Linked DNA regions of Saccharomyces cerevisiae S288C. The gene in region 3 interacts genetically with the main gene of each other region. Each region holds a gene or a part of one and is shown on either strand. Other genes may lie near its edges.

Region 1 (5,037 bases), on a different chromosome or scaffold from region 3:
GTTTTCACAAAAAATTGATAAACTAAGCTTTCGTACTAATTGTAGAGATGTTGATTCGACAGATGAACGGTTCTATAGTTTCAGTGGACGTAGCGCTTTGATATTAAAAAATTATGTACAATATCATGTTAATTAGTTGAAAAATCATAATGTCAATTATCGCAAAATGAAAAGAAGAATTGGTACTCATCCAGAGTTTCAATTTAGCAAATAAAGTAATAGACAATTCATCAAGCTTTGAACTTTGTCGTAAGACCTTTCAAAAAGGAAATAAGTAAAAAGATAAAGAAACTCAATAGACTTGGAAAAAGGATAGAAATGGACATATGCCGACTTAAATGCTAAAACCCTCGACTGTTTTGAACCCATTGTTTCAATACCGTGTCTTTAACGGTTACTACCACAGTTAGGTCACAAATCTTTTAGTGGCAGATGCTCCTTGAACTACTAATGACCCAGGTCACCCAGAGAGGTCAGAGACTTTGTACGGGTACCTATATGAGGTCTTTTTACTGTACTACAAAAAAAATCTTACTCCATTCGCTATTATGTTGTGTGGAAACATGCCTCAAAATGTTTTCACCGCAAAAAGTATGCTTGTTGTATTTGCCAAGTTAACGAAGCATGAGAAAGTTTGCCCCCCCGAGTTGAAACAAAGTTATCTCTTCTAATATGATGGTTGTTTGTGCGGCCACGCTAATAACGAGCTCAAATATTCCCTTTATAGTAACAACTGAATATTTGGGAAGAATCTATATTTCTATATTATTGTATACACTTTATTTAGAGGAATGGTACAGTGTTACGTTCCTGGAAATGCATTTTTAAGGATCTTCCATAAGCACTCAAGTGGACCTATGTTGACTTCCCCATCTTCATCACCACTCCGTTTTCACTCCATAAGCATCCTACTTTTTATACTCTGCTTTGCCTTAAAGAAACAGAACTTCGTACAATGTTGCCTTAACCAAACGCTTTCTTTCACTAAATAACTCGTTATTTTATATAGTACTAGTAGTCCGAAAAAGGGAGTTTGCAAAGAAACTCGTAGTTTTTTGTTGATTAAATTTGAAATTACGTGTCACTTCGTTTTACAGTAGGCCCTATTTTTTTTCAAGAATTTATCTCTTAGCATGTTTATCAAGCGCGCATATTGATCAATTAAAACTCTTTGGGAACTTCAAAACTTCTTTCCAGCTTTTCTTCTTAGCCTCAGTTTCCCTGGAAGAAGCTCCTCTCCTTGAGGGTGGTACCCAAGATGCAGATTTCCATGGTTTTATACCTTCTTCATATAGTAACTGGGTTTCCTCCAAAGATAGACCAATTGTTTCTGGTAAAAAGAAGAAAACGTACAAAAACATAGCAACCAAACAACCTACGAACACATAACCATAATAGAAGTGGATAGACCCAGTAATGAATGGTGTGAAAAAACCAATCAAGAATTGCCATAACCAGTTGAATGCAGTCGAAATTGACATTGCTTTAGATTTGACCTTCGAAGGGAATGACTCGGCAACCACAATATAAGCAACAGGGGCCCATGTCGTTGCAAAGCAGAATATATAGAAGCATGTGAACACAATCATGGCATTACCTGCACCTTTCGAGGATGGACCATCCTGGCCATGAGGGTAAAGACATTTTACCCCGATACTTGCAAATATGACCATACAAGCCATCATTGAAGCCGCTCCGAATAACAGACATTTACGACGGCCTATTTTGTCTACGACCATAACAGCAATAATAGTGGAGAAGAAATTCACTGTACCTAGGACGATCGAAGTCTCAAACCCATCAGTAAGCCCAACTGATTTGAAAATGGTAGTTCCGTAGAAGAAGAAGTAGTTTTCACCAGTAAGTTGCAAAAAGGTTTGCACAAGAATACCTGTGATCAAACGTTGAAGGACTTTTGTTTTGACGGAGAAAAGTTCTTTCCATGAGGCTTCCCCTAGTTCTCTTTGGGCAAGGACACCGGCGTTGATTTCATCAGCCTGTTTGAGTACCCATGGATCCTCTGGTGAAACCTTGTCGATCTTGGCGATGGAGACACAGGCCTCTTCATGTCTCTCACATTCAATCAGATATCTTGGGGACTCTGGAACTAATAACATGCCAACGATGATAATTAGAGCCCACAGAAAGCATAGTCCCACAGGAATCCTCCATTGCGCAGTATTACTATACTTCCTTGTTCCATAAACGCTACAATAACCCAAGAAAATACCGAAGGTCATGTTAAGTTGGTACAATGAGACAAGTCCACCTCTCAAATCTGTGGGGGCTATTTCAGATAAAAGCATTGGACACAACACCGAACAGCCACCAGCACCAAGACCGTAGATGATCTTACCGACAAAGTATTGGTACCATTTGTGATTCGAACTGATCTGAATAATTGCACCAACCATATATACCAAAACCACGATTACAATTGCTAGCCTTCTACCTAAAGTATCAGCAAGTCTCGCAAAAGCAACACCGCCAATGGAACATCCTACACTGAACATGGCCACGAGAAGACCCATACGCACGTTGCTCAAATAATACTCACCAGTACTGTGCTTGTAAGAACCAAAATTCATTTTAAAGTTATCCATATTGATGAAGCCTGCAGTAATACCACTATCCCAACCAGGTAAAAAACCGCCAAAGGATACAGGATAGCATAGTAAGTAGATAATAAGGTAACCTAAAAAGCCTCTCTTCGGTGCGTCTGGCGTATTTCCATTAATGACTTCTTTGTCATAAAACCCGTCTGACCATTCTTTCTCTCCGGGTGGCTGTACATGAACGTCAGCTGCACTACTGTTTAGATTATCTGCATTAATTTCTGGTGAGGACTGTTCGCTTGCCATTTTTTTCCTTTAGTTTCCTTTCCTCCTTTTCTGTCAATAATATCAATAGTTTTACTTCTATGGATAGTAATAAGACTAAACCTGAAGCAAACAATGAATTACTTACTTTCTTTATACGTTTGAAAGTTGGTGATTACAGGCCAACACTGGAGTTATCATACTTGAGTTATATAACCATGTTTAACTTTTTTGCAGAGCATTCGGAAAATCAAACCTTTAGCTGATTGCACTTATGATATTGAAAGGTTCAAGATGCGCAGTACAAGTCCTCGTTTGTTTACATCATCTACCTTGCCTGACTTCTTTGCTAAATTGTGCCTCTGCGCAGTGCACGTTCAAAAGAAAAGCATACCCCGCACTCTACTGTTTTTGCATTTTAGCTTTTAAGTTTTAAGTTACTACCACTGTAGCGCACAAAGCTAAAAATAATTTTGCCTGCAGCAGGCTAGCTGCATATTCATAGGCACATCATGAATTTACTGTAATACGAGACGGAGTTAAGCAAAACGGAGTTAACACAGGCGGAGACATGAAACAAGTTCAACTTCAGTAATAGTAATTGTCACGCAATATCTTGTGGAAATTTGCGTACAAGATTTTTTAAGCGCCAAAGGAGCCAAATACGGAAATAATTACCTAGTCCTTACCAAAGAAATAAAGAAAAAGGAAAAGAAAAACTGCAAACGTATAAGATATTTGGTACATTTTAAGAAGGGGATATTCACTTTAATGATCATATCGCTGATTTAGTAACCCAGATCAAGGACAAAGTTACTATTGTCGTCTTTTAAGGTGGAATCTGTGGTTAGGATCTTTACGAGTACCTAGATGATGTCATCTTTATGCCTAAGAGGTCTAGTGTCATAATTTGTTCAACGTTGCTTTTACCTCTGGCAATACTCCACAATATTTCAGGATTTGCTGCCAAAGTCCATTTTGTGCAAGAGAATGTTTATTACTGTTTTGATCGATTATGTTATCGAGGATTCTGAAAAAATGGTTTATGTCATCCGTCTGAGAAATTATGACGGAAGAATGTAAGCTGCCGGTTACAGGTAAGCAAAATATTTGCAAAGGAATTTTGAGAATTTATGGCTCGACGGCGAGATTTGAACTGTAAACGGATATGGTGAAATGAAGTAAGGGCATAATATTATCCAGCAGCTGTTCTCCCATATAGTGCGCCAAAATTGTAAACATTTTTTATATATTACGCTTTCTCCATGTGCAGGTCAATTTTATTCTTCTTTTCGTTGAAGTGATGTTACCTCATACAATGATTCAACTATAGCACCGTTTCATGCTAAGTTATTTGCACATTCTCCTTACCACAATTCCGTACAATTTAAAAATTTGAATAAAGCAGTATTGCAACAAGGCGTTACAGTCTTTGTTACCCTAAGCATGTCTCAAGAATCTATTCATGTGTGTTCATGGCTCTTCTTAAGATAATATTTCATACCTGGGGTGGCCGTTTCATATTTCTGTTTCTCTAACTTTATACCAGGAGAATTCCTTGTCTAATTTGCTACAAGTACCTTTTCAATATAAATAATTTTCAGTTAATTAACAGAGTAGGAAGAGGAAGGAACAAAAACTATCGCGTATCTTCTTGCATAGGGGTAGTGGAGTAAAGATACAAGTATTCGAGAAATAGATATACATTTAAATAGCATTACTATCCCGGGAATCTTGTTGCCATAAGGTGCTTTTATGATATCAAACCAGGGGGGAGAATATTTGGGAAGTAATTGGGAAGTAATTGTATGTATTTCTAAAATTTTTGGATACTCAACTTTTAAATTCAAAATAGTTATATTTGTTATCGAAATGTAGTAGAAATATTCTAAGTAACCAATTTCAAAACTGCATCTATCTTTGGATAAACTGGTGTGATAAGATATACATTGAATGCTGATGTCCATCACACATATGTTTACACTGGCGTCGCTCTGTACCTATTTCAGAATAGATTAATGACAAAGTAAAAGTTCAATAGGCGGGCGGAAAAAATTAGAGATTCATTGAATCTCTAATTTATTTAAAGTTTATAAGTCGTTACATATTTTTCTATGGTAAGTTCCTGGATGTTCTGGTACATCGAGCGTATTTAATATGTCCATTTGGCATGTCCTTTATATGCCCATCTTGTATAAGGTAGTTTTAAATTCTAAGT
Region 2 (3,474 bases), on a different chromosome or scaffold from region 3:
TTGATATAAGAAACCAGCTCCTCTTCAGTACAATTGAACAGCATGATCTTTATGAGAACTTTCGCGGCTTCTAAATTTCCTGCTTTTATCGATTCTATAAGCAGCGTAGAACCATCAATCGTTTCGTCCTCTAAAAGGTCTTCTACTGGAAAGTCGTTTTCATATTCAGAAAGAATATCTAATAAGATGTAGTTTTTATGATTTGTTATACATATGGATAGAATGGATTGTCCTTGCTCATTTCTGTAGGTCAAAATATCCTTGTATGTTGCCAGATCTTCTACTTCATTTGTGGGGTTTTCACATGACAACTTATCTAATAAATTCTTAGTTTTTTCACATAATGTGTTAGCTTTCGCCACGTTGCCTGTATTTTTGTTGAAGTCTTCGAAATAACAAACCACTGCTTCCAGTGTGGATACAGCATACCCTAGAATGCCGAATTTTGTAGAAGAAGAGTTATTCGAAAAATTTTGCAAATAGTAAAGATGACTTTTAAGGTGCTTTTGTTCACTTCTGCAAACAACGAGCACAAAAAGGCTAATTAAAGTGTCTGCATCCATCGTCATGTTATTCAATCCGTCTGGTAGTTCTAGTTGATGTGAATCCATTTCGGTAGTACCTGATAATTTCTGTAGAGTTTCAACTAATATTTTAGATTTTTCAGCGTATGAATGGGTCAAAGCCAACTTTTGAAGATGTTTGGACGCTAGATGGAGACGCCTTTCAATAAGAGTGATGTCGTGTAATTTAAATTCCCCATAATCTTTTGAGTAAAAATCTGTCAACAACTGGTTCACTGAAAAATATTTATTTTTTCAGTGTCTACTTCGTGGCCTTTGAAATGTGTAGTAAGCCTAGACCATATATCATCGTAAAGATTTAGTTCAAAATAGTCGTGTATAAGATCGTAAAGATTAGAAAAGTTCTTGAAAAGTGAATCCGATTTCATTCCATCAAATGCTTGTTGCACGATGCTTTCAAAAATACTTCTAGATGGATCATCACCAGGAGCGAGCGTTCTGTAACTCGAAAACAATTGGCCAAGCTGTGTTAATCGAGCAGGATGAATGTGCAATATATTCTCGAATGACGATCTTTCTTGCTGAAAAGAATCTATCGACAGATTTGGCATAGCATGTGCATTTTTTGGTATTTTCTCATAATTGTGAAAACACTGTAAGTAGTCGTTAGGTACAAATTCGCAATTTAAAGGTTGATCTATGAATAGTATGATAAAATCAGCCGCCCCTTCAAAGTAGTCATTAAAATTGGGTAATATTTTTGTCTCTAGAATCTTTAGTCTTCGCCTTATATGAAATCCATTTAAGGCATGGATCACATTATTCTTCCATTGAATAACAACGGTCTTACCATCTAACGTTTCATAATGACTGTCCCTTGAATTCGTATTTATGTAAGAGTTTTCAGTCATTAACAATATGTAAGAGTTAATAAACTCTGCATTATAACAGAGGTCATGTAACGGCAGTTTGCTCTTGACATCGTGGTAATTCAAAAGGTATTCTGAAGGAGGTGCTAGGAGGATAAACCTACGGGTTTTTAAATTAGCGAAAAGCTTTTTCAATGGGGATCTTTCTGGTTCGGGACAGTTAAATATAGCATTAACCAGCGGGTTCAACAGCGTTGGTAAATGGTAAACTGACATTGTCAACCCTAGCTAAGCCATAGCTTTTCCGTTGAGGAATTTACAATAAGGTGGTTCCTTTAGTTATAAATTGCAACTGCCAAAATTTTCGGGTAGCGGCAAAATTAAACGAAAACCTTCTGTCATATTAAACATAGTTTAGTGACGCAATGCACACACACTCATATATATGTATATATTTATCTATATCATAGGTGTAAGGCAAAGTTATCACGTGAATATACTGTTTAGTATACAAGTACGTTGATTTAACGGCTGAGAGATTCTCAAACAAAGTAACGCTTAGTTTAGCTAAAGTAGAATCGAAGCGCAGTGAAGGCAAGACGAGTTATCCCTTTATCACAAAATATAAAAAATAGGTAAAGAGGGGGGTGGGGGTGGTTCGGACTTTGCATCTCGGTGCATTAGTACCACTCAGCTTCAGTTATAGGAATACTGACAATGTTCTTGAGCCAGGGAGAACTGAAATTTCCATACCCTTTAACCCTTTATTCTTGAGCATATGATCTTATTTTTCCACTCAGCACAAAATACACATCCCGCATATGATCTGGACACTGAATAAACAAGGGGCTTTACGATGGAGTAGTAGACCTGGATACGTAGTCACCACAGGGATCCTAAACTGCGTCATAGTAAGTTTCTTTGATACTAGAATGTCCCTCTCTCGTAGTAGTTGATATCCCGTATTTCTAGTTAGTGACGTTTATAAATAGGGAGAAAAAAAATCGGAATAACATTTCCATGCCTTTTTTTTGACACTTCAGACCAGATACGCCACCAGCTACAAACTAACAATGTCCACTGATAGTACACGCTATCCAATTCAGATTGAGAAAGCCTCGAATGATCCAACCCTTCTGCTTAATCACACATGTTTAAGAGTCAAGGATCCAGCAAGGACCGTTAAGTTCTACACCGAACACTTCGGTATGAAGCTATTAAGCAGAAAGGATTTTGAAGAAGCAAAATTTAGCTTGTACTTTTTAAGCTTTCCAAAAGACGACATACCCAAAAATAAGAATGGAGAGCCTGATGTTTTTAGCGCACACGGTGTCTTAGAACTAACTCACAATTGGGGTACTGAAAAAAACCCAGACTACAAGATCAACAACGGGAATGAGGAACCTCATCGTGGATTTGGGCACATCTGTTTTTCTGTATCCGATATCAATAAAACCTGCGAAGAGCTAGAATCTCAGGGTGTCAAATTCAAGAAGAGACTCTCTGAAGGAAGACAGAAGGACATTGCGTTTGCTTTAGGCCCTGATGGATACTGGATTGAGTTGATCACATATTCTAGAGAGGGTCAGGAATACCCAAAGGGCTCAGTAGGTAACAAGTTCAATCATACCATGATTCGTATTAAAAACCCAACCCGGTCTTTAGAATTCTACCAGAATGTGTTGGGCATGAAATTATTAAGAACTAGTGAGCACGAAAGTGCAAAATTTACGTTATACTTTCTTGGTTATGGCGTTCCAAAGACCGACAGCGTTTTTTCATGTGAAAGTGTGTTGGAGTTAACTCATAATTGGGGAACTGAGAATGATCCAAACTTCCACTATCATAACGGTAACTCAGAGCCCCAGGGTTATGGTCACATCTGCATAAGTTGTGATGACGCTGGCGCCCTTTGTAAAGAAATTGAAGTGAAATACGGCGATAAGATCCAATGGTCTCCTAAATTTAACCAAGGCAGAATGAAGAATATTGCCTTTTTGAAGGATCCTGATGGTTATTCCATTGAAGTCGTTCCTCATGGTTTGATTGCCTAAAAAGTTGAAATGAATAGGAGGTTAGTA
Region 3 (4,788 bases):
TAATAAGGTTAATGGACCGTTGACTAGATCACAATATGGTAAAAGAAACCCACAAGGTGTACTAGTCGATGTTGTTATTGAACGCCTTCTGCATCATACAAACTCCAGGTATATGTACAAACGTTTAAATATGAAGGACGATGACAAATTAGAGTTCAAGTTTGATTTTGCCTTTGATAGTTGCGACGAAGTGGAGGAAATGGATCTCTCCTGCCTAATCTGCAAAGTTAATAAAAGAAATATTGTAACTTGGCCCTGTAGATGCCTTGCATTATGCGATGATTGTAGGATATCTCTGGGTTATAAAGGATTTGCTACATGCGTCAGCTGTGATAGTGAGGTGAAGGGTTACAGTAAGTTGAATATAGTCTAGAATTATTTTATTAGGTATACGTATTTAAGACATCATAGGAATTTTTTTTTTTGGATATGTTCAACCTCAAGTCTGAACACTATAACCCTAGGCCAGACTTGTCTTTTCAAATGAATGGCGGATTGGTTTATAGTTTGCACATACCTTTCTTGTCTTCATTGGAGCTGAGCATCATGTTTTGAAGCCTCTTGGCAACTTCATCAATAAACTCTTCTGTGGTTACATATGATGATCTATTAGTCTTTCCAAGCATCAATGCTAAATCCTTGGTCATTTTTCCGCCCACTTGAACTGTGTCCAAAGTAGCCTTTTCTAGTAAGTTTCCAAATTTTATAACATCATCTGTATTGTCTAATTTTCCTCTTTGTATAATTGCCCTTGTCCAGGCAAATATTGAGGCTATTGAATTTGTTGATGTTTCTTCGCCTCTTTGATGTTTTCTAAAATGTCTGGTCACCGTACCATGGGCAGCCTCGCTTTCAAACGTTTTACCATCAGGTGTAATCAATATGGACGTCATTAAACCAAGAGACCCAAATCCTTGTGCCACAATGTCAGACTGGACATCGCCATCATAATTCTTCATGGCGATTATAAACCCGCCCTTTGATTTTAGCATCTGTGCTACCATATCATCAATCAAACGATGCTCGTACGTTATTTTTAAAGCCTGAAACTTTTCCTTATATTCTTTATCGAACAAATTATCGAAAATTTGTTTGAACTGATTATCATAATTTTTCAGAATAGTGTTTTTGGTTGTAAAGAATAACGGTAGTTTTCTTTTGAGAGCTAATTCGAAGGATGCCTTTGCGAACCCTTTAATGGAATCATTTGTATTAAACATTGCCATTGCGATCCCACCACTTTTAGGAAATTCATAAACCTTTAAATCGATGTTTTCTTTACCGTCATCTGAGCTAAACTGTAACCTTAGTTTGCCTGCTTTTTTAATCTTGATGTCAGTAGCCCTATATTGGTCACCAAAAGCATGACGGCCTATAATTATAGGTTTCTCCCAGTGAGGGACTAGACGAGGTATTTTTGGAATAATGATGGGTTCTCTAAATACAGTTCCACCTAGGATGTTTCTGATTGTTCCATTTGGAGATTTCCACATTTCTTTAAGGTTAAATTCTTTCATTCTTGCCTCATCGGGTGTTATAGTGGCACATTTGACAGCAACCCCATATTTTAGGGTAGCATAAGAAGAATCCTTTGTTACTTGATCATTAGTCCTATCACGCTCTTGGATTGAAAGGTCATAGTATTTTAAATCCACATCTAAATATGGCAATATCAATTTTTCTTTGATAAGTTTCCAAATAACTCTTGTCTGCTCATCACCGTCCATTTCCACGATGGGATGAACAACTTTAATTTTACTCATTTTAACTTGGACAACTATCTCTAAAGTGTTGCTTGTGTTTACTGCAGGTATGTGCAGGAGAAAGCTTATAAGGGGAACACTCTTATATACGAAGATGCAAAATTGGGGTAATTAATGTAAATTTAAGAATGACAAGAAGAGTTGACTAGTACACGCAACGAAATACTAATCACATTTTACTTTTCCCCTAAAAGAGAGCTCCTGCTTTTCTCTTTACTGTCCCTTTTGGTATGTTTGATTGATTTCTAATTAGTATACTTGAAATATCATTCGTTTTGTATTAAAGATTCGGCATTAAGCATGCTAAATCCGAGGAGGATCTTCCTTTATTTTTTGATGTTCTTTCTCTCAGACAATAAAAAAGATATACAAGAAAAATATAGTACGTACGTATATATGCATACATATGTAAGAGGCAGTTACACGGTATTAAACTTTAATATTTCGTAAGAGTCTTGCACTAATTTTCCATCAATTCAGCGACTGTCTTTTCACCAGCCAGAACTTGTTTCATGCTAGCCAAGATGTCTTTGAAGGTATCGAATTCATGGAATGGGACGTTTTGTTTTTTACAATAAGTGACCAAATCTTTACCTCTTTTGGCAAATAGCAAATCACATTCTTTTGCAGCACTTAGATCAGAAACACCGTCACCACAGTAAAAGTAAACGGGTCTTTGTTCACCTGCTTTCAAGGTAGATTCAAATTTCTTTTTATAAGCATCGATACTTCTGGATTTGTCATGTCCGAAGGGACTTTCATCCTTATAGATGATTTTCCATTGATCATGTGCATCGATTTCCACTTCATTGGAAACAATGTCAATTTTGTGAATAGACTCTTGTCCAACTAATCTGGTCAATAAAACCTTGATAATTGGTTTCATTCCGCTGGAAACAACGATGACAGGGACATCATTTTCTTGAGCCCATTCGAATGTATCCTTGAAACCAGGATCCAATCGAATTTTCTTTTCTAAGATCTTGATACACTCAGGGAAAGGGGTGTGGATGGATTCCAGCATTTCCATGAAACCTTGCCTAAAAGACTTAGTATCATCTAACACGCCTTCGAAGACCTTTAATCTTTTTTCCTTACCGAAACCTAAAGTATCGGTCAGATAATCGTTAGAATCTTCCAAAGTAACGGTACCGTCGAAATCGGTAAAAATAACAGCTTTGACCATTTCCCTTGTATATATATAAATGCTATGTCACTCCAGCTTATGTTATGTGAGCAAGTTTCAAGAATGTGTGCGTTCTGTTGAGATAAACAATAGAGGACACTGTATTTTTTTAATTTAAGATGATGAAAAATTATGCGATAATTTTCGAAAATTTCGCTCATTTTAGAAAAAGAGATTTGAACAGGGTACCATAGTAGAACGATAAAAGAATATGTCGTACAATGTGTTGGGTTGTTGATATCCAATAAAGAGTTTTTTTCAGCGTGTAATGCTTAGATATTATGTGGAAAGTTACTACTGTTGTATTAACCTGTTTCGTATTTCCTAAAGAACGCTAATGTGTGATGTTTGGGTTTATTTCTTAAGCTATTTAGGCGGACTATGAAAGAGAGGAAACGGAATCTTTTGTTCCCTCGAGGTAATAAGGGGACAAAATAGCAGAGTGTGGTGAGATAGTTTACTAGATGAACGTCGTTGTGTGCTCCGGTGGGACTGCCACAAATTCATTGACTCCTTGCTTTTCTAATATTTCTATCTTAAAAGGACATGAGCTGACGTATATATTGCCAATATCAGATAATGGCGGGTCCACAAGTGAAATTCTACGAATAGTTGGTGGCCCAGCAATTGGTGATATCAGATCTAGAATAGTGAGACTACTTCAAGATGAACAGCTTGTCGAGTTGTTTGGCCATAGGCTACCTAATGATAAGTTATTAGCTAAGAAAGAATGGAATGAAATAGTGGAAGGTTCGCATCCCATATGGAAAAATATTTCGATAGAAGTTAAGGAAATGTGTCGTTCTTTTATTATCCATATGCAAGCAGAACTCTTGAAAAAAATCAAACACTCGAATCCATTTCAGTTTGAGAGTGCATCCATTGGAAATTTTTTCTTAACTGGTGCTAGATTGTTTTTAGGTTCTCTAGACGCATCTATTGAACTAATGATGAGGATAGGAAGGTGCAGTCCTCTAGTTCATGTTATTCCATGTATAAATACCAATCACACACATCATATCTCGGCTTTGTTGACGAATGGTGAGATGATAACTGGCCAATCACAAATATCGCATCCCTCGAAATCTGTTCCTAAAGATAATAGCATAGCACATTCAGCTAAATTTATTCATTTACTTGGCTCTTATGACGACCATTTGAAAATTCTCCTCGACGATGAGGAAGAAGAAGCGGAAGAGGAGTATGCCAATCCTATCTATATTCTTCCAGAACTGAAAAACTCCCAGTTGCATTTTGACAAGCTTGATGAATCACAGAATCTACCTGCTCCGGTACATAGGATATTGTATATAAACCCATATGGCGAAGAGATAAAACCAATGGGAAATCCAAGAGCTATTTCCAAGGTGAAAAAAGCTGACATGGTCGTTTATTCTATCGGTTCTTTAATGACAAGTTTACTCCCAATCCTTATTCTTGGTAATCTTGCTGAAGTAATTTTGGAATCTAATAATACGAAAAAAGTTTTGCTCATAAATAATAAATATGATAGAGAGGTTTTTGGTTTAGACGGTTTACACTACGTTCAAATGATCATAGATTCTATGAGTAGGGCAATAGCAGGCTATAGGCAATCTAAGGGTGTCCATTCAGAGAATGATGACTTTGAATGGCAAGATTTTATTACTGATATTGTTTACCTAAAAAATGGTGAAATTGAAATTGATGAAACGATATTCGAGAAGCATAGTATTAGATGCCACCAGATCGCGTCTTCGGATAAGATGGAAAGTGAAGAACTTGAAAAGGTTCTGAATCAAATTGGCCTTAAAAACTGATGCAACTATGTCGCTCATTAACGGTTATTATAGTGAAGAC
Region 4 (3,296 bases), on a different chromosome or scaffold from region 3:
GATGGGGTGATGCTCCAGTTCATTCTATTGGTGCTGCGCTGTTCTTGGACCGCTCTGAAATCCATCACTTCGGTGATATTGGTTATTACCATGTTCCATTTCACTCCTGTCCAATAGACACAAGTATCAGACTGGCTAACAAATGTGACTGTGATCCAAGCAAAGATTTCACATGGCACAGTTATTCATGTACTACTAAATTCTACAATATAAACAAGTTGCCAAAGCCTGCTGGTTGGCAAAACCATATCGGTTGATTATACTGTAATCAGCCCACGTTGTCTTTGTATTTTCCACTTTTTTTATTTATACTATTTAAAGAAACAGAATAAATTATAACTCTTTTTTTTACATATCACATTTATATTTACTCCATTGCGTTACAAATATGAACGCTTCGACAACAACGCCAAGGAAACCGGGATAACCCAACTGATATTTTCTACCATACACTGAACGAAATTGCAGAACCAAAAAATAACAAAAAGTTCCCAAAAGGAATGCCAGAAAAAAATGGGAGGCAGGTCCACCTAACAAAAATTTAATCATATGCCATACTTCTTGAACAGTGAATGAGTCATCTCCACACCTAAAAATGTGGCCGCATTGGCTGGGAAAGATCTTAGTAAAGCAGGACCTAAACCAGGGAAAAATCCCTTGATACCACCTCTTTGTAGATAAATTTCCTTTGTGGCGGAAAGCATATTCTGCCTCGTGGAGGAAGCCTGCAATTTTGTCTTTATAGTGTCTATGGGGAAAACAGCTAGCCACATCGACATACCAGCAATACCACCAGCAAGACACACGTTCAAGATATTGACCGGTTCATCTTTGCCCGCATCTTGACGAGGTTGCCTACTATTCAAGTAATTTTTTGAAATTTCATAAGATGCAAAATATAGAGCTGAGCCAGGCCCATCTCTTGCTAAAGTGGCTAATGAACCTTTAAATAAAGAAGCTATGCCACCTTCTTTAACAATGGTTTTAGCCGCCTGAATGAAAGAGCCCTTAGAAGATGTTTGCAGGACAACCTTTACTCTTTCCGTTGGCGCAGTCACTAAAGTGGTAGGAATAGCGCTGATAAATCCTGCTGCAGCCATTTGTCCCATAGTTAACTCGTTACTGCCTCCTTGCTTGTTATTAAAAGTAACCAGTTTCTTACCCACATCGTAACCCCAGAAAGAAACAGCGAATATGGGAGTAACACCTAATAAGGGCGGGATAACACCTTTATAGAACCCCTTTACGGAATTGGTAAATAATGTGCCCTTTACTTGAGTTTTTGCTTCTTTTATAATATTTGTAATGGCATGTACCGTGGAATTCGCTTGTCCATTTTGACATCTCACTTTAATCAAATCGAAGGGATGACCCGTAAACACCGCACATACCCCGCCAACTCCACCGGCCACAAATGATTTGATATTTTCGCGTACAGGGTTTGATTTTATAGGTGGACGAGACTTGGTCAAGCTCCCACTCTCTTCTTTCAATAATGAAGATTCTGATAATGAAGTGTCTGAAGACATTACTGACACGATGACGTTTGTGGAGGATAAGAAAGTCGTACAATACGTAGAATCCAAGGAAAACCTGGAATAAAAACACACATAGAGCGCAATTGAATATCGGCTATTTCTACAGTACAAGCGTCTGCCTATATATGCGCTTGAAATATATCTATTTCGACTAAAGGAATTATACCATCATGCATCTTTACTCTTAAATCTCCATTTGTCCACCGACTTATTGCGGCAAGTGGAGATCCAGTCACGCCGGATGACTGGGTGTAGATAAATAGCCGCCCAACTGATCCCTGCATAAAGCTTATATGCGGATATTAGGAGCAGTAACCCGATGACATTAAGCGTGTAGCCACAAGGAACTTCACCATTACTCATAGCAGAAAAAGCAGTGACCAAAAAATGGCAGGAATGACTCTTTTCTGTTTCCCCTCATATACACTGAAACATCTCGATATAAAGCATGCCCTTTATTGTACCATCAATGCAATGTAACGGCAAACGAGGCTAGGAATATGTATTACCCGCACTGAATTGCTTCTTCACTTAGCACACCCTTGATCGCTATGTTCTACGCTGCTACCCGTTCGGTAGGGAGTGGCGGGGAAATTCACATTGGCACAATGTAAACCCGTAGGAAAAAAAAAAAGCACGAAGAAAAAAAAAGAAACCAAAAATATTTACTACATGTAAGTCTATGGACATTTGACAACAAACTTTTTCAACTCATCGCAAGATTATGAATTTTTCACGGCTTTTCAGGTTTTTTCCTCCTTTTGTTTTACATTGAAAGGTTTATATTTTATGTCTTTGTATGGTTCTCTTAATTTGGATTCTTTCTTGTACGGTGTCTCTATTATCATCTGTCTTGTTCTTTCTTGCAATGCTTAATTAACTGCTGCCACAATTGACTTCGGTTTGGCTATTTCACGATTGAACAGGTAAACAAAATTTTCCCTTTTTAGAACGACATGCAGGGAAATAAATCAACTATAAGAGAGTATAAGATAGTAGTTGTCGGTGGAGGTGGCGTTGGTAAATCTGCTTTAACAATTCAATTCATTCAATCATACTTTGTGGACGAATATGACCCTACTATCGAAGATTCTTACAGAAAACAAGTTGTCATCGATGACAAAGTATCCATTTTGGACATTCTAGATACTGCTGGACAAGAAGAGTATTCTGCGATGAGAGAACAGTACATGAGGACTGGGGAAGGTTTCCTACTGGTCTATTCCGTCACCTCTAGAAATTCCTTTGATGAGTTACTGTCTTATTATCAGCAAATTCAAAGAGTAAAAGATTCTGACTACATTCCTGTAGTCGTGGTAGGTAACAAATTGGACCTTGAAAATGAAAGACAAGTCTCTTATGAAGACGGGTTACGCCTGGCCAAGCAGTTGAATGCACCCTTTCTAGAAACGTCTGCGAAACAAGCCATCAACGTAGACGAGGCCTTTTATAGCCTTATTCGTTTGGTAAGGGACGACGGTGGGAAATACAATAGCATGAATCGTCAACTGGATAATACGAATGAAATAAGAGATTCGGAGCTAACCTCATCTGCAACAGCGGATAGAGAAAAAAAGAACAACGGGTCTTATGTACTCGATAATTCTTTGACCAATGCTGGCACTGGCTCCAGTTCAAAGTCAGCCGTTAACCATAACGGTGAAACTACTAAACGAACTGATGAAAAGAATTACGTTAATCAAAACAATAACAATGAAGGAAATACCAAGTACTCCAGTAACGGCAACGGAAATCGAA

What was found.
Region 1: mutations in IDP3 (region 3) and HXT16 together harm fitness more than expected from each alone (negative genetic interaction), as found in Saccharomyces cerevisiae (one large-scale study listed by BioGRID).
Region 2: mutations in IDP3 (region 3) and YML003W together harm fitness more than expected from each alone (negative genetic interaction), as found in Saccharomyces cerevisiae (one large-scale study listed by BioGRID).
Region 4: mutations in IDP3 (region 3) and CRC1 together harm fitness less than expected from each alone (positive genetic interaction), as found in Saccharomyces cerevisiae (one large-scale study listed by BioGRID).

What each region holds. Positions count from the first base shown.
Region 1 is NC_001142.9:730,264-735,300, reverse strand, and holds HXT16 (hexose transporter HXT16), read right to left. Parts: upstream 2,862-5,037; coding exon 1,158-2,861; downstream 1-1,157. UniProt on the Saccharomyces cerevisiae protein: Probable glucose transporter.
Region 2 is NC_001145.3:261,678-265,151, reverse strand, and holds YML003W (uncharacterized protein), read right to left. Parts: upstream 1,670-3,474; coding exon 797-1,669; downstream 1-796. Other genes in the region: VRL1 (Vrl1p), read right to left, coding at 1-611; lactoylglutathione lyase GLO1, read left to right, coding at 2,467-3,447.
Region 3 is NC_001146.8:611,796-616,583, reverse strand, and holds IDP3 (isocitrate dehydrogenase (NADP(+)) IDP3), read right to left. Parts: upstream 1,764-4,788; coding exon 501-1,763; downstream 1-500. Other genes in the region: putative ubiquitin-protein ligase ASI3, read left to right, coding at 1-373; PYP1 (putative phosphoric monoester hydrolase), read right to left, coding at 2,224-2,949; YNL011C (uncharacterized protein), read left to right, coding at 3,414-4,748. UniProt on the Saccharomyces cerevisiae protein: May function in the production of NADPH for fatty acid and sterol synthesis.
Region 4 is NC_001147.6:512,750-516,045, forward strand, and holds CRC1 (carnitine:acyl carnitine antiporter), read right to left. Parts: upstream 1,530-3,296; coding exon 546-1,529; downstream 1-545. Other genes in the region: alpha-1,2-mannosyltransferase KTR1, read left to right, coding at 1-257; Ras family GTPase RAS1, read left to right, coding at 2,495-3,296. UniProt on the Saccharomyces cerevisiae protein: Transports carnitine, acetylcarnitine, propionylcarnitine and to a much lower extent medium- and long-chain acylcarnitines.